Arabidopsis thaliana: one gene and its partners. The protein of the gene in region 1 interacts with the protein of each later gene in a pairwise test. Each region holds a gene or a part of one and is shown on either strand. Other genes may lie near its edges. The genes, in order: SR1, UAP56b, AT2G40620 and NDPK2.

Region 1 (4,517 bases):
TTTTTTTTTGTAAACGTGTTTATAACATATTAACATGGACCTCGTATATTCCATTTTTTTAATTCATTTTATTTATGTTTTCTTTTGTTAATTACTTCAGAAGTTATTTATGGTCATATATATTATATCGTTAAATTTTGTCGTAAAAATGGGTTATATGGTCACATTAATCTTGCATGGGACCAAAAGTAACAAGCTAAATTAATAATGTATTCTTTTATTTTGTTTGTCAACAATTAATAATGTATTCAAAATCAGTAGATATTTTGATTGGAGCAACCTTTCGAACCAACGAAAGAAAAGGGGCAATTATATAACCATCCATTTTTATTGACAGAACCTTGATTTCGTAATTATTTAACGAGCTTCTTTCCTTCCTCCTTCTCTTTTTCCCCAACGAAAGAAGCTTCCATGAAACAGCATCAGAAAAAATCAAAATTAAAAACAAATGAAATCTTTCGTACATCACATTATTAACGCGGTAATTTATTTTTATTTTATTCCCGTACATGTCTTTTAATGGATTTATATATATTAAAAAAGATGTTGATTTGGTTTTATGTGAATACTGTAGTACTAATTTATGCCTACCAAAAAAAAATAGTACTAATTTATGTGTGGCTTGGATTTATATATATGTACAAATGGGCACAGCGTGACAGCGAAAATAGTAACGTACGATTTATCTAATCTTTAAAACGTTGTGTGTTTTGGATAAATTACAAAAATAATTAAAATTGATTTTATATTTTGTTGTACGCTGCGGTGGGTAGATCACGTCGTAGATTTACTATAAAAATTGACACTGCAAAATTTATCCTCTTTTTTTTGGTATTAAACTTTAACCAAAACTTCACAAGATTATAAAAGCCTTGCACTCTAACAATGCAATGCGATGATTTCTAAGTCGTCAAATGTTTAAGTCTGAGGAATTGGGACATAATTAGTGTGATTGTGGGTAGTGATCATACATGGAACTAATACATCTTTATAAAATTATACTGACTTTCCAACTTAGCTAAGTAAGAAAATAGTAACTATTAAAAAAAAACAATGAGATAATGTTAAATATTAATCAAATTTGTTTTTCTTTTTTATTTTGGGCAAAAGTTATTTTTTCAAGCGCACTGTTTGTACTTTATAATGTGAAACATATATTGAAAATAATCAATTGAAATCTTAAATGTAGTCATATTTCTTTTTTTCAAAAAGCATCAAATAGATCAATTTGCCCATAAGACTCGATTTATTTTTCCACGAATATGGGAAAAAACAACTGGAGATTTTTAAAAAGGAATGACATATGTTTTCCAAATGTATTAACTAATGATTCCAACATAAGCAAATATATTTTCTAAAAATAGTGAAATAAACAACTGTGAAATGTATACAAAAAGCATGAAATATATTTTCCCAAGTATTGTTTAAATTTGATAAATAATTCAAGTTATTTGGAACAGTGATGGAGTGGAAAAATAAACATAAGAATCATAATTAAAAATGAACGTAGAGTTTAGATAGTGATTTGAAAAGATTAAGGAAGATTAGGAAATGACACTAGTTATAGGACGATTCCAACCTTGAGCAGTGGGGCGGGAGTTGTAGTAACCTGTCAACCGCAATATATAGCCTGGTGCTCAAAATGAGACTTGAACTAATACTAATAAGGGGAATTTGGATGTTCAAAGGACTTAACCACGATTGATGACTAAACAAAGCAGTGGTTAGCTGAATTACTAACTAACTAGAGCTAGCTGCCTAGGCTAGTCGAAAGAACAATTCTCCGTTTTGAGTTGACCATAAAATAATAATATTCAACAATATTGGAGGAAACATGTTTATATGTTCTTGTAATAATAATATTATAGCAAATAGCCGAAGATACGACGAAGCGTATATGTGTGAAATGAGTATATTCTACAGCCTAAACCCTCGGAGATACCAAATCAACACGACAACAGCGACGGGACACCTGTATGGTTCTAATTCAACTTCTTGTCCACATCTTCATCTTCTTCTTCTTCTTTTTTTAATAGATATATTAAGAAAACAAAACAGAAAATCTCCCACGTCTTTACAAAGAAAATAAAGAAGAAGAAAATAAGGAAAAAGAATCTGATAGTAATTGACAAAAATACCCTCATCTCCTACCTCAAGACAGTAATATATATGTAACAACTCGATACAGAGCATGGCTTATCTCTTATCCGAATCCTCCCAATTTGTCTGTCTCTCTTTTGTTTTCTCTGCTAACAGATCTCTCTAAATATCTGTTACTTTTGTTCATATCTTTTTACTTTTCAAACTACTAATTTTCCTTTCGCTTCTTCTATTAATAACAACACTCTCTCTCTCAGACTTCTTTTCTTTTTTTTCTACGGCGTTGATTCATTCGCAATGACCTCAGTTTCTGTGTACCATAATTGACCTAGCAGATTCTGTTTTTAATGGTAGATTCTGACCCGGTGGAATTTCCGCCGGAGAACCGCCGTGGACAGCTCTTCGGCAAATACGAGGTCGGAAAATTGGTGGGATGCGGCGCCTTCGCGAAAGTGTACCACGGGAGGAGCACAGCGACGGGTCAGAGCGTTGCGATCAAAGTGGTGAGCAAGCAACGGCTGCAGAAAGGAGGACTCAATGGCAACATTCAGAGAGAGATCGCTATCATGCACCGTCTGCGCCACCCTTCTATCGTGCGCCTGTTCGAGGTCCTCGCCACCAAATCCAAGATCTTCTTCGTCATGGAATTCGCCAAGGGCGGTGAGCTATTCGCCAAAGTCTCCAAGGGCAGGTTCTGCGAGGATCTTAGCCGTCGTTATTTCCAGCAGCTCATCTCCGCCGTCGGATATTGCCACTCCCGCGGCATCTTTCACCGTGATCTCAAACCGGAGAATCTCCTCCTCGACGAGAAGCTCGATTTGAAGATCTCTGATTTCGGACTCAGCGCTCTTACCGATCAGATCCGACCCGACGGCCTCCTCCACACACTCTGTGGTACGCCGGCGTACGTGGCGCCTGAGGTTTTGGCGAAGAAAGGGTACGACGGTGCTAAAATCGACATATGGTCATGTGGAATCATACTGTTCGTCCTCAACGCCGGTTATCTCCCTTTCAACGACCATAATCTCATGGTTATGTACCGGAAAATCTACAAGGGAGAATTTCGCATTCCCAAGTGGACCTCACCGGATCTCCGGCGACTGCTGACTCGGCTTTTAGACACGAATCCGCAGACGAGGATCACTATCGAAGAGATCATCCACGATCCATGGTTCAAACAGGGCTACGACGATCGGATGTCTAAATTCCATCTAGAGGACTCCGATATGAAACTCCCGGCGGACGAGACCGACAGCGAGATGGGAGCAAGGAGGATGAACGCATTCGACATCATCTCAGGATCTCCAGGGTTCAATCTCTCCGGTCTTTTCGGAGACGCCAGAAAGTACGACCGAGTGGAACGGTTCGTGTCGGCGTGGACGGCGGAGAGGGTGGTGGAGAGGCTGGAGGAGATCGTGTCGGCGGAGAATCTGACGGTGGCGAAGAAGGAAACATGGGGGATGAAGATCGAGGGGCAAAAAGGTAACTTCGCAATGGTGGTTGAGATAAACCAGCTAACGGACGAGCTGGTTATGATAGAGGTGAGGAAGAGACAAAGAGCCGCTGCATCTGGACGAGATTTATGGACAGATACACTCAGGCCTTTCTTCGTCGAGCTTGTGCACGAATCAGACCAAACGGACCCAGAACCAACTCAAGTACATACGACGTCGTAGTTTAGGTATCTGTCAAATAAATTATCCAAATAATAATTAAAAAAAAATATCCCGGGTTATATGTAATTGCTTTTTTTTTTACCCGGAGAATATCTCTGACATAATTATTCAGGAAATTTCTCGACAAATCTTAATTTTTAGTTGGCAAGTATGTATCTTCTTGTTATGTAATCATAATTATATTTTATATAAATGAAAAATAAAATATAAAAAAATGTATTACTTGTTTTAAATGGCCACTATAATACATTAGTAACGTATCGTGGATGTGAAGTAATGCTATGTGTACAAGACACTCTAACTTAACCATTACTTAAGGATTAGTTAACTATTCAACATGATATTTAACATACATATAGATGTAATTTTTAACAACTCATAAAACACAGTCTTCTTCTGCTATTAATTTTGTCATTATGTAAAAAGAAGTGTCAAGATTTGAGCCATGAACTAACACAACTGATCTACTTTCACCTTTTTGATAAGTAAGAGGTTGTCCTTATCACATCATTGTAAAAATATACTATTAAAATAGATATATAGCTAGTGGACTTTATATAATCCTATCGCATGTGGCTGTGATATAAGATCATACACCAATAATTCTCATCAATCATTTTCTTTTCTTGGTATCCACATTGAATCCAATCATCCATAATCCATTAATTTCAGCTTCAGCAGTTATAATTACTGTAATCAACATATATATCACCTTTTCAATGCAATAATTGTAGGCTCCAC
Region 2 (6,298 bases), 3.3 Mb from region 1:
ATATTAAAAGGAATTAAAAGTTAAAACCAACCATGCATGCTAATCAAAGTTAAGTTATCGACTGATTTTCATCTACTTGATTCTTTGATTATTTTTGTAAATTAAATGTGGTAATTTCTAAGGTTAGTTTGGATTTCAGCTCAAAACTTAATTGAAATGTTTACTTGGATTTTGTAACTAATATAAAAATTACTAAAATCCTTTTTTAACGTGAATGTTATATGATACCAAAACGTTAAAAATTATATTTCAAAATTCATATCATCATATGTAGTGTATTTAGTATTTACACGTGTGTGTGATATATTAATCAGGAAGAGAAGAGTGTGGCTTGGAACTTTCGAAACGGCAGAAGCGGCTGCAAGAGCATACGACCAAGCGGCTCTTCTAATGAACGGCCAAAACGCTAAGACCAATTTCCCTGTCGTAAAATCAGAGGAAGGCTCCGATCACGTTAAAGATGTTAACTCTCCGTTGATGTCACCAAAGTCATTATCTGAGCTTTTGAACGCTAAGCTAAGGAAGAGCTGCAAAGACCTAACGCCTTCTTTGACGTGTCTCCGTCTTGATACTGACAGTTCCCACATTGGAGTTTGGCAGAAACGGGCCGGGTCGAAAACAAGTCCGACTTGGGTCATGCGCCTCGAACTTGGGAACGTAGTCAACGAAAGTGCGGTTGACTTAGGGTTGACTACGATGAACAAACAAAACGTTGAGAAAGAAGAAGAAGAAGAAGAAGCTATTATTAGTGATGAGGATCAGTTAGCTATGGAGATGATCGAGGAGTTGCTGAATTGGAGTTGACTTTTGACTTTAACTTGTTGCAAGTCCACAAGGGGTAAGGGTTTTCATTGTTTTCCGGTTTTTAATATTTTTAAAAAGTTTATTATGTGATGGATTTCCTTTATTTATCGATTATACATGTAAGAAAATTGTCAAAAATACATGTAAAAAAATGTAATATATACAGATTTGTATTTTTTTGTGTGATGAAAGTATACATGCTTGTTGTATTGATTGATATAAAAGATTGTTCGATTTAAGTATTCTCTTGTTTTAATTAATGGGCCTACAATTTTGTTGGTCCTTCAAACACAAACATATATACATATACATTTTTGCAGCCACTTTGTAAAATAAACCTCAAGTTGAGACTTATTTACAGTGGCTGCCACTGGCATTTAATAATTATTTTTGATAATTAGAAAGTAAATCTTCGAATTAAATATTTGACATTTAACTATATTCCCAAAATCTCTCTACATTAACTACACGATTAGTTACTAAAATAAAACTTCCAAAATATTTAACATCATTTAAAAATTACAAAATTATCATTTTTGATATTGCTTTTTTGCATGACTATAACAATTCGATTATACGCATCAACCCACAGAGATATTTGATAGCAATTAATTATTACAAAATTACAAAATATTTAGACAATGATTCATAAACATATCATAAATAAGATCAATATTAATAAAATAAATAGTTTTTTTTACGGGACGGATTGGCGGGACGAGTTTAGCAGGACGTAACTTAATAACAATTGTAAACTATAAAATAAAAATATTTTATAGATAGATACAATTTGCAAACTTTTATATATACTAACTTAAAAAAAAAATATTGTCCCCTGCGGTATAAGACGGGTTAAAAATCTAGTTGTTATTATTAAAGGAAATAAAATATCCTCATAAAACAATTTGTTGTAATCTATCTTTGGGCTAATGTTCTTATCCTACAAGACGAACCCTGACCGTATTCGTCGTAGAAAAAAAATTGCTTCGATCCCATCATTGAGTTCAATAATCGGCGCACAAAGGCCGATTCATAAAAACTCTAGGCCCATTAAAGTAAAGCCCATTCTCAACCCTATCCAGTCTCCCTGTATATATATATTTACGACACCAACCCAGCGTTGATATTTAATTTTCTTCAGTCAGAGATTTCGAAACCCTAGTCGATTTCGAGATCCAACTAACTCTGCTCCTTATCTCAGGTAAAATTCTCGCTCGAGAACTCAATTGCTTATCCAAAGTTCCAACTGAAGATGCTTTCCTACTGAATCTTAGGTTAATGTTTTGGATTTGGAATCTTACCCGAAATTTCTCTGCAGCTTGTTGAATTTGCGAAGTATGGGAGACGCTAGAGACAACGAAGCCTACGAGGAGGAGCTCTTGGACTATGAAGAAGAAGACGAGAAGGTCCCAGATTCTGGAAACAAAGTTAACGGCGAAGCTGTGAAAAAGTGAGTTTTATGGTTTCCTCGATATGTTTCATGTATACTACTGTGTGTTTAAATTTGTCGATTCTTAGATTACTACTTGATAACAAGTAGCAGTATGTGTTTAATTAGTTGCTTAACATATAACAATTGACTGAGTTCTTCATTGCTATAATTCCTGAAACCCACCCAATATTAGACTGTCGTGTGTTTCTCATATTGTATTTTCTCTTTGTGACAGAGGGTACGTGGGAATACACAGTTCTGGATTCAGAGACTTCCTTTTGAAACCGGAGCTTCTCAGAGCTATTGTTGACTCAGGATTTGAACATCCATCTGAAGGTAATTACCAATAAAAATTCAATTTTGTTGCCTTTCACCATTCTATTACTGAATCTGAATGATATGGTAGAATTTACAGAAGTTTCTTCTCCATAAGCTTTTTAGGTGTCCGGAGACTTTTAATTATATGTACTTCGTCTAGTTTTGAGAAGATATGTTGGTTTAAGATATTTTACTTTATCTGGGTCCCTTGCTTATCACCTAACTAAGTCCAAAATCCAAAAGTTTTGTGTTGATTATAAGGTTAAATTCTTCTTTAGTTTCCTGTAATAATTTTTTTTAGTTTTCTGTCTATTAACGTTTCACTGATTACTTTTTCCAGGTAATAAACGCTAATTTCGATCTATTGATTTGGAGTGAGCTTAACATGTGCTAAAGCCACCAATTTAAAAGATATGGAGGTTATCATCTACTTATAAAGGGTTTCTTCGGTGCTATTTTCTTTGGTTCTCCACCAGTGCAACACGAATGTATCCCTCAAGCTATCTTGGGTATGGATGTTATCTGCCAAGCAAAGTCTGGTATGGGGAAGACTGCTGTGTTTGTCCTGTCTACTCTACAACAGATTGAACCATCTCCTGGCCAGGTTTCTGCACTTGTCTTGTGCCATACAAGAGAGCTAGCTTACCAGGTATGACCTTCTTGTTTCACTCAGGTTCTTGGCTTATAGTCGTGTTTTACGTCTTCAAGTTCTCTAATGCTTACTATGCCTTGATGCTGAAAATTACTTGCAGATCTGCAATGAGTTTGTGCGATTCAGTACCTATCTGCCTGATACAAAAGTTTCGGTGTTCTATGGTGGAGTCAACATTAAAATTCACAAAGACTTGCTGAAGAATGAATGTCCTCACATTGTTGTTGGTACCCCTGGTCGAGTGCTTGCACTTGCCAGGGAGAAAGATCTCTCTTTGAAGAATGTGAGGCATTTTATTCTTGATGAGTGTGATAAAATGCTCGAGTCACTTGGTATGCTGATTTCTGACATCATTATTACATCGATCCCTGAATAATTTTATGTTTTAACACTTCAACTTGTCTTTACCAGACATGCGAAGGGATGTGCAGGAGATTTTCAAGATGACTCCTCATGACAAACAAGTAATGATGTTCTCAGCAACGCTCAGCAAAGAGATACGCCCAGTCTGCAAGAAGTTTATGCAAGATGTAATGTTCCATGGCCAATTCTCTCTCCCTTTGCAAGTCTTCTAGTTTTCATCTATTTTTAGCCTTCTATGGGTGATCATAGCATTATTTGAGCATCTTCTGCGGTTCTGCCCTTGAAAAGCTGAAACTGATCTCTGGATGGGTCTCAATCCAATAATGCTTTGGGTAGTTTCTAGAGAACGAGACTGTGAGTGTGAGACTCTTTAGCTTTGGTATGGTTTCTATCGGTGATCATAGCATTATTTGAGCATCTTCTGTTGTTCTGCCCTGGAAAAGTTGCAACTGATCTCTGGAAGGATCTCAACCTAATAATGCTTTGGGTAGTTTGTAGGGGTTGAGAACTCTGAGTGGAGACTCTGTAGCTTTGGTATGATTGAGTGACCGTTGCACAACAGGATTTCCTTTCATCTTAACCTTTTATTCAGTTTCAATTTCTTTGAAAATCTAGCAGTGGTGGGTGGGTTTTGGGTCGGGGTACTGTGTTTTCCCAAGGTTTCATCGTGCTCGTATGGGTCTCAATGTTCCGAGCAATATTGATGTTTCATAGCAAAACTCACATCTTTGAAGAGAAAAGGTGGACGAGGATCTCAGTTCAGGGGATCTCCATCCATCTTCACTTTTGTAGTGTAAATCATTTCCTGAGGAAAGCTAGCTAATACTTCTTACCTGGTATCTGTTCCTTTCAGCCAATGGAAATATATGTTGATGATGAAGCCAAGTTGACTCTTCATGGACTTGTCCAGGTACGTTTAACTGGTTTGAGGTCTTCGTATTCAATGTAAATATATGTTGTTGTTTGATACTTAAGTGACCTTTTTTCTGTTCTACTGTAACAGCACTACATCAAACTGAGCGAGATGGAGAAAAATCGCAAGTTGAATGACCTTCTTGATGCGTTGGACTTCAATCAAGTTGTCATTTTTGTGAAGAGCGTGAGCAGGGCTGCGGAGCTGAACAAGTTACTGGTGGAATGCAATTTCCCCTCAATATGCATACACTCTGGCATGTCTCAAGAAGAGAGGTTTGTACATTCTCTTAAAAATTCAATGTTTCTGAAGGACCCTACCTGCTCTTAAAGCCCTCATGGAGAGTCCAATTCTTAAGCCTAATACGATATGTTATGTAGGTTGACTCGATACAAAAGTTTCAAGGAAGGGCACAAGAGGATCCTTGTGGCGACTGACTTGGTAGGAAGAGGGATTGACATAGAGCGTGTCAACATTGTTATCAACTATGACATGCCAGATTCTGCGGATACCTATCTTCATAGGGTAAGTATATAATCCTGAGATTTATTATTTGATCGTTGATGAAAGGGCTCTTGTAACTTTACCGTTTTGCTGTGTGTATGGGATAGGTTGGGAGAGCTGGTAGATTTGGAACCAAGGGTCTTGCAATCACATTTGTTGCATCTGCTTCAGATTCAGAGGTCCTTAATCAGGTATGGTGTTTGATCTTTTAATAAATTCCATGGAAAAAGTCCCCATGATATTGAGTTGGGTATTTAGTAAAGTGGCAAGTATAAATGTTGGACAGGTTCAAGAGAGGTTTGAGGTCGATATAAAGGAGCTTCCTGAGCAGATTGATACATCGACTTACAGTAAGTTTTAAATCCCATTACTAAATGTGAAAAAGGCTGGTTTTGTCTGGTATTGATATTAACTTAGTTTCTTCTTCGTATTCTTTGCTCAGTGCCGTCTTAAACAAGTAGCATCATCTCTGAGGAACGAACCTCTTCAGATTTCAACCTTTTAGGTGTTCAAAGGGGTCATGGAGGTCCACAACTATCTCTCACACCGTTTGTTGCTTCGCTATTTTAGACTTTTCTATGAGGACAAGTTTTTCCATATATTTAGACCGTTTTGTAACTCTTGAAAAATGAGATTGAGCTACTCTCCAAATCGCGCACAGTTGAGAGCTCTCCTGTTTTTTGTACTAGTGATGGTTATCTTTAAAATATTAAGATTTCAGGATTTATTCTTTGGCTTGATCATTGATTAAATGTTCCTAGTGAATTGATCTAGTTTGATGCAAAGCGAATATTATTGAATGTTGATAAGAATCCTGAACGTAAATACCGTCTTTTATGCTGACCAATGAACAAATATTTCATGTAATAGTAGTAGGTAAGATTTAAGTTTGCATCAGTCTATCTTAGATACATTTAAACATATTTGAGAAAAGGATTCCTTAAATATTATGATTATGCAATCTAAACAGTGAAAGAAATCTAGAGTTTAGGTTTGACTATGCTGACTTTAGCCTTGATAGTGGCGCAACTCTTCTAATGGGTATAGTGTTTGAGGTCAGTTTCTTACGACGGACCAAAGCTGTGTCGACTTCCACAATATGATCTCCAACATTACCTTCTTCATTGACTTCTTCTTGAGCTGCATTGGCTTGATCATTTGGTAGATTGGGTGAAGCATTGTGTTGTCTCTCTTGGTATCCTCTAGAAGCCAACATGAGTAAGAGTAGAATCACAGAAACAACAAAGACGATCAGAAATAGAGCTTCAAAGCTGTGGTGGTCGAGCTGGATTGGAGAATCTGATGTAGTCGA
Region 3 (5,302 bases), on another chromosome or scaffold:
CAGATTCAGTAGTCTCCCTCGGTTTCAAGAGGCTAATATTCTTAACAACACGACACTTACTATCATCTGTTTTTACAGTATGATTCTCAAGCAAAGCCTGTTTTCCAGAATTAACAACGCGTCTATTATCATCTGTAGAAATTGACTTGGCCTTAGGCAAGTATGTTCTCGTCTCAACAGTTGAGGAAGGTTTTATATCTTTAGACAAAACATCATTTTCTCTAACTACTCTTCTTATACCTTCAGCATCAGGAGCCACAAGCACTTTAGATACTTTCGACAACTTCTCACTACTAAGATTTGGTTGCTGAACACTATTACTGTTTCCATGAGATTGCAAACTACTGGTTTTCGCATCTGTAACATAATTATAAAAAAAGTAGGAAACTTTTAACAAATCATCCGAAAATTCAGTGATAAAGATCATTTCTAACAATCGAATTCGACCATTCTAAGTAAAAGAAAACTCGAGAATTACCAGAAGCCAGATCTGGGACTTTCACACGTTTAGACCCTAATTCATCTTTCTCATCTAATCCATTTCCGTTACGCTTCTCGCCAGAAATCTACAAAATTGGGATAACCCCAGAGACGAAGAACACAAACCCATAAACAAATTGATAAAATTTGATGAAGAACCGAGAAAGTCATCGGGAAAGCCAAAAGAAGCAACAAACCACAGAATTCGATGCAGGTTCCGACACAACACCAGAGGAAATTCCTCTCTGTTCCTCCATTTACACACCAGAAAGATCTCTCTTTTCCAAAAACCCAGATGTCGAATCCACCCAGAAAGAGTCCACACACAAACGAAAACGCAACAGTTTCTTCTAAACGGGTACACACATAAGGGGATTCGAGAGCAAGCTTTGAATAACTAAGATTAGGTTTAGATAAATTGTGTAGAGGAGTGAGGTGAGGACGAAGAAGAAAGTATATTTGGGGATAAATCGATGAGAGACAGAAGAGAAAAGGGATTTTGAATTCAAATGGTGAAGTGTTGAGGTTTTGTTATAAAGGAGAGAGCTTCCTCGTTTTTTCGGCCGCTAACCTTTGAGCCTTTTATATTCTCGAAATATCATCAAGTAGGGCTCTTTCGTCAATTTCACTAATTCTCTAATTACTAATGTCTTTTTCACTTTTACTCCCACCAAAACTCACTTGTTCATATTTTACCCCACACATTTACAAATTATTATTTAGAGAAATTACATATGTATATCAATCACTATATAAGATTTTAGTATTTACTAAAAATGCCAAGAACAAAAAACTTCATTCATTTTATAAGATTTTAGTCTTTAAATAGATGTGAAATACAACAAATCTAAGTTTTTTTCTGTCGTTTACGGTGAATTTAATTATTTAGATTTTTGATTATATTATTGATATAAAAATCTACTAAGCATTTTATATGTAACGATAACGACAAAATAGTAAAATACATATTAGTCTAAATTTTGTGTGTGTATATATATTGATATTGATTGAATCGGTTTTAAAATTGGTTAAGCTAGTTTTTGGATGTAGAATGGTTTTGGAAAGTAGTTTTAGAAGCAAATGTGTTTGGATCGTATTATGTTTCCTAAAGTTCGTATATATTAAAAAAGTTATAAAGGCTTATTTACTATTTTTTGTGAAATGTCTAAAATAACAAAAAGTTTAATGTATTTCCTTTTATTTATTGAATCCAAATCTTCAAACGTTTTTTTTCCAATGTTCTACACATATGATAAGATGCCGTTGGTAACGAACTTTTCGCTCCAAATTTTCAAAAAGTTTTCTAACTATATTTTCACATAAACCCGCGATAAAACATTACTAAAATTAACTTTGAAATTTAAGTAAACATTCTAATTTGGATCTATCAATATTTTTTATAAATAGCTAAAATGAAAATAATATTAAGCTTTATACACAATATTTTATGCGATTATTTTGTTTTAGTAAAAGATATTTAATGAAAAACAAAAATATTGTTGAACAAGGAATTGTAATTTATATGTTTCTATGTATATGTGAATAAGATCAAATGTAAAAAGAGAAGTATATGATTTGTGTGATCAAAAGACAGCTTGAAAGTTTGGATAGACGAAAACAAGGGTTAAAAAGATAAAAGATCTCACAAACGACGCTGTTTTGGAGCCTGTTCCGTGTTTTTTTGTGGCCATCATCATCACCTTCGGACACAACGTGATATCTGAATCTCTCCCTCTCTCTCTCTCTCTCTTTCGCTGTCCGATTCCGACAGATAGACAGAGGGCGCGAAACAGAGAGAAAATAAGAAGAAGAAGGACGATCCAGATATGGAGGATCCTTCTAACCCACAACCAAACCAGAGCAATCTCTCGCAATGCCCGCCTTTAGCCACAGCTCCGACACCTGCGCCAGTTCGTGGTCCGTACCACCGGAGAGCACATTCGGAGGTCCAATTCCGTCTCCCTGAAGATCTGGATCTCTCTGAACCATTCGGAGGATTCGATGAGCTTGGATCCGAAGATGATCTCTTTTGCTCATACATGGACATTGAGAAACTTGGATCCGGATCCGGATCCGCATCCGATTCGGCTGGTCCTTCTGCTCCTAGGTCTGATAACCCGTTTTCCGCTGAGAATGGAGGTGCGGAGGCTGGGAATTCGAGACCTCGACACAGGCATAGCCTCTCCGTTGATGGCTCTTCGACTTTGGAGTCAATTGAGGCTAAGAAAGCTATGGCTCCTGATAAGCTCGCTGAGCTTTGGGTCGTCGACCCTAAAAGAGCTAAAAGGTTTCATCTTTAATCCCCAAACGTCGAGAATTTTGTTTGATATGATTGAAATCTAGTTCCTTGTTTTATGCTTTTGTTTACAATTCGTGGGGAAGAAAGGCAGTTTCTTTATGACCTTTTATTGATGAATATGTAATCTTTTGATGTTGATGTGATGCATTAGTCATTAGGTGTTCTTTTGGAGATCTTTTTGTTTTTCTTGGTTACGTGAGTACATCACCTTTTCTTTTTGACTATGATCTCGAATCTCAACGATAACTGATTTTTAACTGAAATTTTAGTTATAGCTTCTACTATGCTGCTTTTTTATTTTAGGTCTTTCCTGCTGAGAGAGAGAGACCATGAGGGACCCATAAGTTTGCTTTTTTGTCTAAATTCCAAGTTGAATTCTGTGAGAATGTGTCTCTTTCATGATGATTTTATGGCCCCCAACTAATTTTTTTTTGTACTAGCTTTTGCTTGATTGGTCTGTTCAATTCCTGTTTGGTTAGAGATCATATTTGATGATGTTTTTTTGTGTGGTATGGCTTTCAAGATGATCCCTTTTTTACATTCACTTTTAGTAGTCAACTGTTTGGAATTGGAAATTATAGTTTCAAGTGACTTTGGTTCAAATTGTTTGGGAATTAGCTTTGTGTGAGATCTGATCTGTGTCAATAGGGTTAAGGGTGATCTAATGTAATCTCTCGGATGATTCTTTGGTGATGGTCACTATTAATTGCATGACTGTTCTTGTGACTTTTATTAATTGATGCTCCAAAGTGTCTAATCCTGTCTCATGCACTCTGTGCAGGATAATTGCTAATCGACAGTCTGCTGCTCGTTCGAAAGAGAGGAAGGCTCGGTATATCTTGGAGCTCGAGAGGAAAGTTCAGACCTTGCAAACTGAAGCTACTACCCTTTCAGCACAGTTGTCTTTGTTCCAGGTTTCTTATACATTCTCCTTCTTTGCACATTTTTCAGTTACTGCAATAACATTCAGTTTCTCATCTACGGCCTAATAACTTGCTTCTTACAGAGAGACACAACTGGTTTGTCATCTGAGAATACAGAGCTCAAGCTTCGTTTACAGGTCATGGAACAACAAGCTAAGTTGCGAGATGGTATGGATTAATCTCTCAATCCCTCACTTTATATGATTATTTGGGGTTTAAGGTCGTTTACTAATGAGTTCCCTCGGCAGCACTGAACGAGCAACTGAAAAAGGAAGTTGAGAGGCTGAAATTCGCCACGGGAGAAGTCTCACCCGCGGATGCTTATAACCTCGGAATGGCACACATGCAATATCAGCAACAACCACAACAATCCTTCTTTCAACATCATCATCAGCAACAAACCGATGCTCAAAACCTGCAACAAATGACTCATCAGTTTCATCTCTTCCAGCCTAACAACAACCAGAACCAATCTTCTCGCACAAACCCTCCCACCGCTCATCAGCTTATGCATCACGCTACTTCTAATGCCCCGGCTCAATCTCATTCCTATTCAGAGGCAATGCATGAAGACCATCTTGGCCGGTTACAGGGGCTTGACATTAGCAGCTGTGGCAGAGGCTCAAACTTTGGTAGGTCTGACACCGTCAGTGAAAGCAGCAGCACTATGTGAGGCTGCCTTTCCCAGATTCCCCTTTGTCGATAAACCTATTCTTTCGCCCTCCCTTGAAATCTTTAGCTAAAAAGTAACATCTTCGTGACAGTCGGATTCATTTTTTATTCTGTAAAACTGGTTTTTTGGGGGGTTTTGGGGTTTCAACTTTAGAGACCACAGTTGTTTTAACTTGTCTGATTTCTCATTTCCTGATTCATCTTGTTCTCCTGGGGAGCTACTGAATTATAAACAGATCATATTTCTGTTTCTTTATGTTGTCATGATTCCCTAGTTGCTTTCGTCAATCATCCCTATGATAGATGGTTGAATTTGGATTTGGCTTTGGCTTGAACCAGATCAGAAAGTGTTTTGTTTTGCAGGTCTCCTAGCTACATCACTTTGTGTTATTTTCATTTCCAGTAAATTGGATTTGTAGGAAAATTTCTATTCGTTGGGCATGGAATTGGCTACTTTTATAGTTCCACATGTACTTTTGCTTCAAGCACAAGGTTCTCAAGATAATTCCCATTAGAACCCTAACGTCCGCACTACAAAGCACAAACCAAACGTAGTTTCGTTGGAACATATGGAGATTTTGAAAAACCCACTTAAGCTAATTAGAAACTAGAGGAGGGTTACGTGTTAAACCGGGTCAAGACACAAATTACATGAACCAAACTAGCCATGTTGAAGCCACTTATAAGGTGCCCTAACTACCAAACAACAAAATTAAATACTCACATGAGAATCTCTCAACTATATCTTGAGAAAAGCTCAAGAACAATTGAAGTTTATTTATCTTGGTGTCGGCTCTTAGAAGTTGGGTCATTGAAATGACGTTCTCTCTTTGGACATAACCATTTTTCAGGCACGTAGTTATGGAGAGTCCCAATAGTTTTGGGGCAACAAATAGACAAAAACCTTGTGATGGTTACTTAAAGTATG
Region 4 (4,515 bases), about 25 Mb from region 1:
GGAGGAGCAGCTGGTTAACGATTTCAAGAGGTCGTGTTTCAGAGCGGGTGTGTTGCAGGAATCTCGAAGACGACGCTTCTTCGAGAGCTCTCTGGAGAAGAAGACGCGGAAGACCAAAGAAGCTGCGAAGAAGTATCGGAAAAGGTCAGATTTTTTTTTCACTTTTTCTTCTTTCTTTCGAAAAACACTTGGAGAAGTTGAGTCAATAGATTTTGATTTTACAGGAGACCAAACCCTAAACCAAAACCACTATCAACTTCAGAGATCCGCAAGCACAACAGAAATGCATCCAGAGAAGACGAACAAGACGATCACTGGGAACTTCCTCCTGAGGACATTGAGATTCCATATACCAACCGGTCTTAGAAGTAAACCGGAATGATATTCCGGTACACTGATCTGAGCAATCTTAATCACGCAGCATCTGCGTTTTGTAAAGCCACTCTTTTGTATGTTCTTTTAGCTTGAGATTAGAAAATTTTCATTGCTCGGTGTAGAGTGAAGATGAATGATTTTGGAGGTGTCTGTAACGTAGAACCAAATGCAGATGAATCTGTAACTAGTTTTGATTACATGACAAGTGATCACAGATATGAGAAGAATCAAGCCATAGATTGGCAGTTATATTATATTGCCGCCCAAAATCAGGAACAAAACACCAAAGCTCATCATCGGTAACAAGAAAACAAGTAAGGACACCATTATAATTGACTCTGTCTTCTCAAGGATCACTCCCTTAGCCATGTAGCTAGAGCCGAATCCCACTTGCATAGCTCGCCCTCTTTGAACCACAGACCTATGCCACAACCACAAGAGCCAAAATGTCAGCAAATGAAAACTAAAAGTTTAGCATACTAAGGAATGAGAGTGATTGGTCAAACTAAGTAAATGAAGAAGTGATAGTAATGGTTTAAAACAGATATATTGAACCTAACAATTTCAGTAATCAAGTATGATCTAATCTAGTTATGTTATCAAGTTAATTTGAAGCAGTTTGAACCACGTTGATTTGCCCCTAAACTGGACATAGTCAATGTCTCAACAATGAAAGATGGGTGAATGATTTGAACAAAAAACAAGAAATCTCACCAATCTCACGCTTGCCGTTTTCAGGGCTGTCACTACCATGCACAATGTTCCTGCAAATTGCATAATTTAAAAATATCAAACCATGAGAATTATTTTAAGTGCTTACTTCCAACAATTTTAAAGATGATAGAAGTCCAACCTTCCGGTTTGCACAGCAAGATCTCCTCTTATAGTACCAGGTTCAGCTTGAAGCGGATCTGTTTTCCCTATTAGCTTCCTGGCTGAAGCAACAACACCAACACCTTCCCAAGCCTTTACCAGGTTTAAAACATCACATGCAATTAACTCATCTAATTACAACTTGAAAACAAGTAAAAATCAAATTAGAGCATAGTTATACCCATACCATACACACAACTGGACCTGAAGTGATGTACTCAATCAGGTTAGGAAAGAATGATTTAGCACTAAGATCCTTATAATGCTCCTGGCAATTGAGATAAACACACAAGAATATTAATTATGTCAATCGAATATGAAAAAAAAATGAGGCAGCGTCATCTTACGCAAATGTAGCGAATAAGTGAAATATGCAAGTCATGATCAGGCTTCAATTTCTCGATACTTGTCAATGATTTATTAGTTATATCACATTAAGAAGCAATCTAAAGTTATCAAACTACTGATGTAATGAGTGAGTGTCAAACCTCAGCCAATTCTTTTGGGCACTGAAACATCTTGAGCCCAATAAGTTTAAACCCCTTTTTCTCAAAGCGAGAAATGATTTCTCCTACCTAAGAACATCAAATGAATCATACATTCATAATTTAAGCCAAGATAGTGTAATGAAATAACATTCAAAGCTCCATAGAGTTCCAAGATACATAATTTAACCTCAAAATCAGAAGAAGAAAAAAAATGAAAAGCAAAAACGCTTACAAGGCCTCGTTGTATGCCATCAGGTTTCACCATAATGTAAGTCTCCTCAACGTCCTCCTGAAACAATACAGAAAACAACGTAAGAACAATCAAAAGGTCACTAAATTGCATTGAGATTCATCAAATTAGAATATATCCAAACTAATTTGAATCCTAAATTCCTGATTTCGGAGTTTAATCAATGTAAGTACTAAGAAAACAAAGTAATTCGCATAAATGGAGGGGAAGCACACAAACCATAGAAGCTACAAGGTGAGGAAGGAAGATTCCCGATTCGGCGGAGCTGGAAGCGCGAAGACGGCGGCGAGACGCGGAATTGCGAGAGAAAAGACGGAACTGAGGACGAAATGCGGCCAACGCTGTTCTAAAATTAACCCTGGCTGGAGAACAGTGTGGATTGAGACTTGCCGAGTTTCTCTCCGGCGGCGAAGCCACACATAGGGGAGTCCATTTACTAACTACAGTCGCTCCCACCATTTTCTGCGCTTTGTCTTAGCTTCTCTCAGTGTCTTCGCATCATCATCTTATAAGAACAAAGTTAATTGACATAAATACCCTTTATCCAGAAGCGAAGATAATTTGGGTTTAGTTGATCAATCAAAAAGTATCAGTGCTCAGAAGTAATTTAAAAAGTGATCTCGAGTACAAAGAGTGTCTCGTTTAAATGGAGGAAACAGACTCTTTCTCTTTCCCTGTACAGTTTACTCTTCTAAAAGATTAAAAAAAACAAAAGTCTGCACATTTCAACAGTCGCACAATTTGCTGCTTTAATACCAAACCAAACCATCTTTCTTGTAGCAAAATTGTTTTTTTCTTTTTCTTTTTTCGTCGATTTAGAATCATTGTCAACAGAGTCACGTTGAAAAATAGGCAATACAGACTCATCGTCTTGTCTTCTAGATGTATCTGGCTTTGCCTTTCTTTTGCTTGCTTTAGCCATTTCACGCCACATCAAATTTACATTTTGTGCATAGAAGAATCAATGCGTAAACATCCCCAACTTTTTCTTTTCATCTTGTTGCTTTTAACAAGACCCGGAAAAAAGACTTCATCAATCAATTTCTACATCTATATCTTCCTCTCCCTGGTCAACAAGGTCAGTTTTTTGCCCTGCCTTGTCCACAACTTCGGTTTCTACCTTTCCATTGCCATCAACTACAGTTTCGTTTCCTCCCTTGTCCGAAACTTCAGTTCCTTGCACTCCCTCACCATTGTCAACAGCTTCATTTTCTTCTACCCCCTTTTCGACAACTTCGCTTTTTTGCTCTCCCAAGTCGACAACTCCAGTTTCTTGTTCTTCTTTTTCAGTAACTCTACTTTCTTGCTCTGGCACATTCGCCAATTGTTCTTCTCCTTCAATTTTATTGATGGATTTTTCATCTTCTTGGTTCCCATTATCTTGTGTCTTTTGGCTTACCAGTTCTTCGTTTCCACAATCGAGTTGGTTCTCTCCCTCTTCTCTGTGAGGACTAAGTGTTTGTCCTTCACTTTTGTCAAGGGAAAGTTCTTTTCCTACTCCGACAACTTCAGTTTCTTGCTCTCCTGTATCATCATCTCTACTACTTTCTTGCTCTAGCACATTCTCCAATTGTTCTTCTCTCTCGCTTTGATTGATTTTTTCATCTCTTTGGTTCTCATAATCTTGTGCCTTTTCGCTTACCGATTCTTCATTACCGCTAGCACGTGGGTCCTCTCTCTCTTTTCTGTGAGGACTGAGTGTACGCCCTTCACTTCGGTCAAGGGGATGTACTTCTTCCACTCCCATATCAACAACTTCATTTTCTTGCTTTCTCATATCGACAACTTCAGTTTCTTGCTCTTCCTTGTCACCAACTCCACTTTCTTGCTCTGGCATATTCTCCAGTTGTCGTTCTATTTCATTTGGGTTTATGGGTTTTCCATCTTCTTGGTCCCCATTATCATGTGCCTCTTGGCTCACCGGCTCTTCATTTCCGCTAACGAGTTGATCCTCTCCTTCTACTCTGTGAGGACTATGTTCCTGTTTTTCACTTCTGTCAAAGGGATTGTCTTCTACTTTTCTCTGGCTAAAGTGTGGCGGGTCTTCTTCTTCATCCTCATCCTCATCCATTTTCATATACAGACCTAGATGTTCTAATGGATTACTGTTGCTTTCCATCTTGAAACTACCCAAACCCAACATATCCTCACTAAACTTGGGACTCATCACTTCCATGGAAGTCGGTAATTGATCACCTTCTGTACCTGTAGCTCTAAGCATCTGGAGGTCTTCCATAAACCGTATGCCCTCGTTTATCTCCACTGTCTTTTCCATCTGCAACAGACCAGAAAGTCATTTATCATGATTGTACACCATGGTAGGGCTCTGAATAATAGAAGAGAAACTCGAAAAGTCTTTTATACCTTTTGTAAAGCTTGACGTGCAGCTTCTCTCTCTTGCTCTCTTTCCCTCCTCGCTTTTTCTGCGGCTTCTGCTTTGGCTTTTCTCCGAGCCTCCTCAGCTGCTTTGGCCTCGGCTTGTAACCGTTCTTTTTCTAATCAAACGGAAATCGCAAGAATTAAAAATAA

What was found.
Region 2: the proteins of SR1 (region 1) and UAP56b interact in a two-hybrid assay, tested with the Arabidopsis thaliana proteins (one study listed by BioGRID).
Region 3: the proteins of SR1 (region 1) and AT2G40620 interact in binary tests that used the Arabidopsis thaliana proteins (3 or more experiments, as listed by UniProt).
Region 4: the proteins of SR1 (region 1) and NDPK2 interact in a two-hybrid assay, tested with the Arabidopsis thaliana proteins (one study listed by BioGRID).

Annotation. Positions count from the first base shown.
Region 1 is NC_003076.8:312,682-317,198, reverse strand, and holds SR1 (serine/threonine protein kinase 1), read left to right. Parts: upstream 1-1,793; 5' UTR 1,794-2,447; coding exon 2,448-3,776; 3' UTR 3,777-4,009; downstream 4,010-4,517. UniProt on the Arabidopsis thaliana protein: CIPK serine-threonine protein kinases interact with CBL proteins. Binding of a CBL protein to the regulatory NAF domain of CIPK protein lead to the activation of the kinase in a calcium-dependent manner.
Region 2 is NC_003076.8:3,565,248-3,571,545, forward strand, and holds UAP56b (DEAD/DEAH box RNA helicase family protein), read left to right. Parts: upstream 1-1,927; 5' UTR 1,928-2,005; intron 2,006-2,122; 5' UTR 2,123-2,141; coding exon 2,142-2,254; intron 2,255-2,471; coding exon 2,472-2,572; intron 2,573-3,030; coding exon 3,031-3,203; intron 3,204-3,306; coding exon 3,307-3,538; intron 3,539-3,617; coding exon 3,618-3,736; intron 3,737-3,905; coding exon 3,906-3,948; intron 3,949-4,067; coding exon 4,068-4,103; intron 4,104-4,187; coding exon of another isoform or gene 4,188-4,228; coding exon 4,229-4,326; intron 4,327-4,422; coding exon 4,423-4,479; intron 4,480-4,572; coding exon 4,573-4,757; intron 4,758-4,862; coding exon 4,863-5,007; intron 5,008-5,093; coding exon 5,094-5,177; intron 5,178-5,272; coding exon 5,273-5,336; intron 5,337-5,428; coding exon 5,429-5,439; 3' UTR 5,440-5,768; downstream 5,769-6,298. Other genes in the region: SHN2 (Integrase-type DNA-binding superfamily protein), read left to right, coding at 315-804; GLR2.5 (glutamate receptor 2.5), read right to left, coding at 5,984-6,298. UniProt on the Arabidopsis thaliana protein: ATP-dependent RNA helicase involved in pre-mRNA splicing. Required for the export of mRNA out of the nucleus. In addition to ssRNA and dsRNA, binds dsDNA, but not ssDNA.
Region 3 is NC_003071.7:16,953,877-16,959,178, reverse strand, and holds AT2G40620 (Basic-leucine zipper (bZIP) transcription factor family protein), read left to right. Parts: upstream 1-1,995; 5' UTR 1,996-2,306; coding exon 2,307-2,767; intron 2,768-3,560; coding exon 3,561-3,693; intron 3,694-3,785; coding exon 3,786-3,870; intron 3,871-3,950; coding exon 3,951-4,375; 3' UTR 4,376-4,761; downstream 4,762-5,302. Other genes in the region: AT2G40630 (Uncharacterized conserved protein (UCP030365)), read right to left, coding at 1-357, 479-566, 678-737. UniProt on the Arabidopsis thaliana protein: Transcription factor that may participate with bZIP34 in the gametophytic control of pollen development.
Region 4 is NC_003076.8:25,371,394-25,375,908, forward strand, and holds NDPK2 (nucleoside diphosphate kinase 2), read right to left. Parts: upstream 2,512-4,515; 5' UTR 2,446-2,511; coding exon 2,206-2,445; intron 2,026-2,205; coding exon 1,969-2,025; intron 1,824-1,968; coding exon 1,737-1,823; intron 1,517-1,736; coding exon 1,436-1,516; intron 1,342-1,435; coding exon 1,229-1,341; intron 1,140-1,228; coding exon 1,090-1,139; intron 797-1,089; coding exon 729-796; 3' UTR 511-728; downstream 1-510. Other genes in the region: AT5G63300 (Ribosomal protein S21 family protein), read left to right, coding at 1-382; NPX1 (nuclear protein X1), read right to left, coding at 3,020-4,261, 4,351-4,481. UniProt on the Arabidopsis thaliana protein: Major role in the synthesis of nucleoside triphosphates other than ATP. The ATP gamma phosphate is transferred to the NDP beta phosphate via a ping-pong mechanism, using a phosphorylated active-site intermediate. May activate MPK3 and MPK6.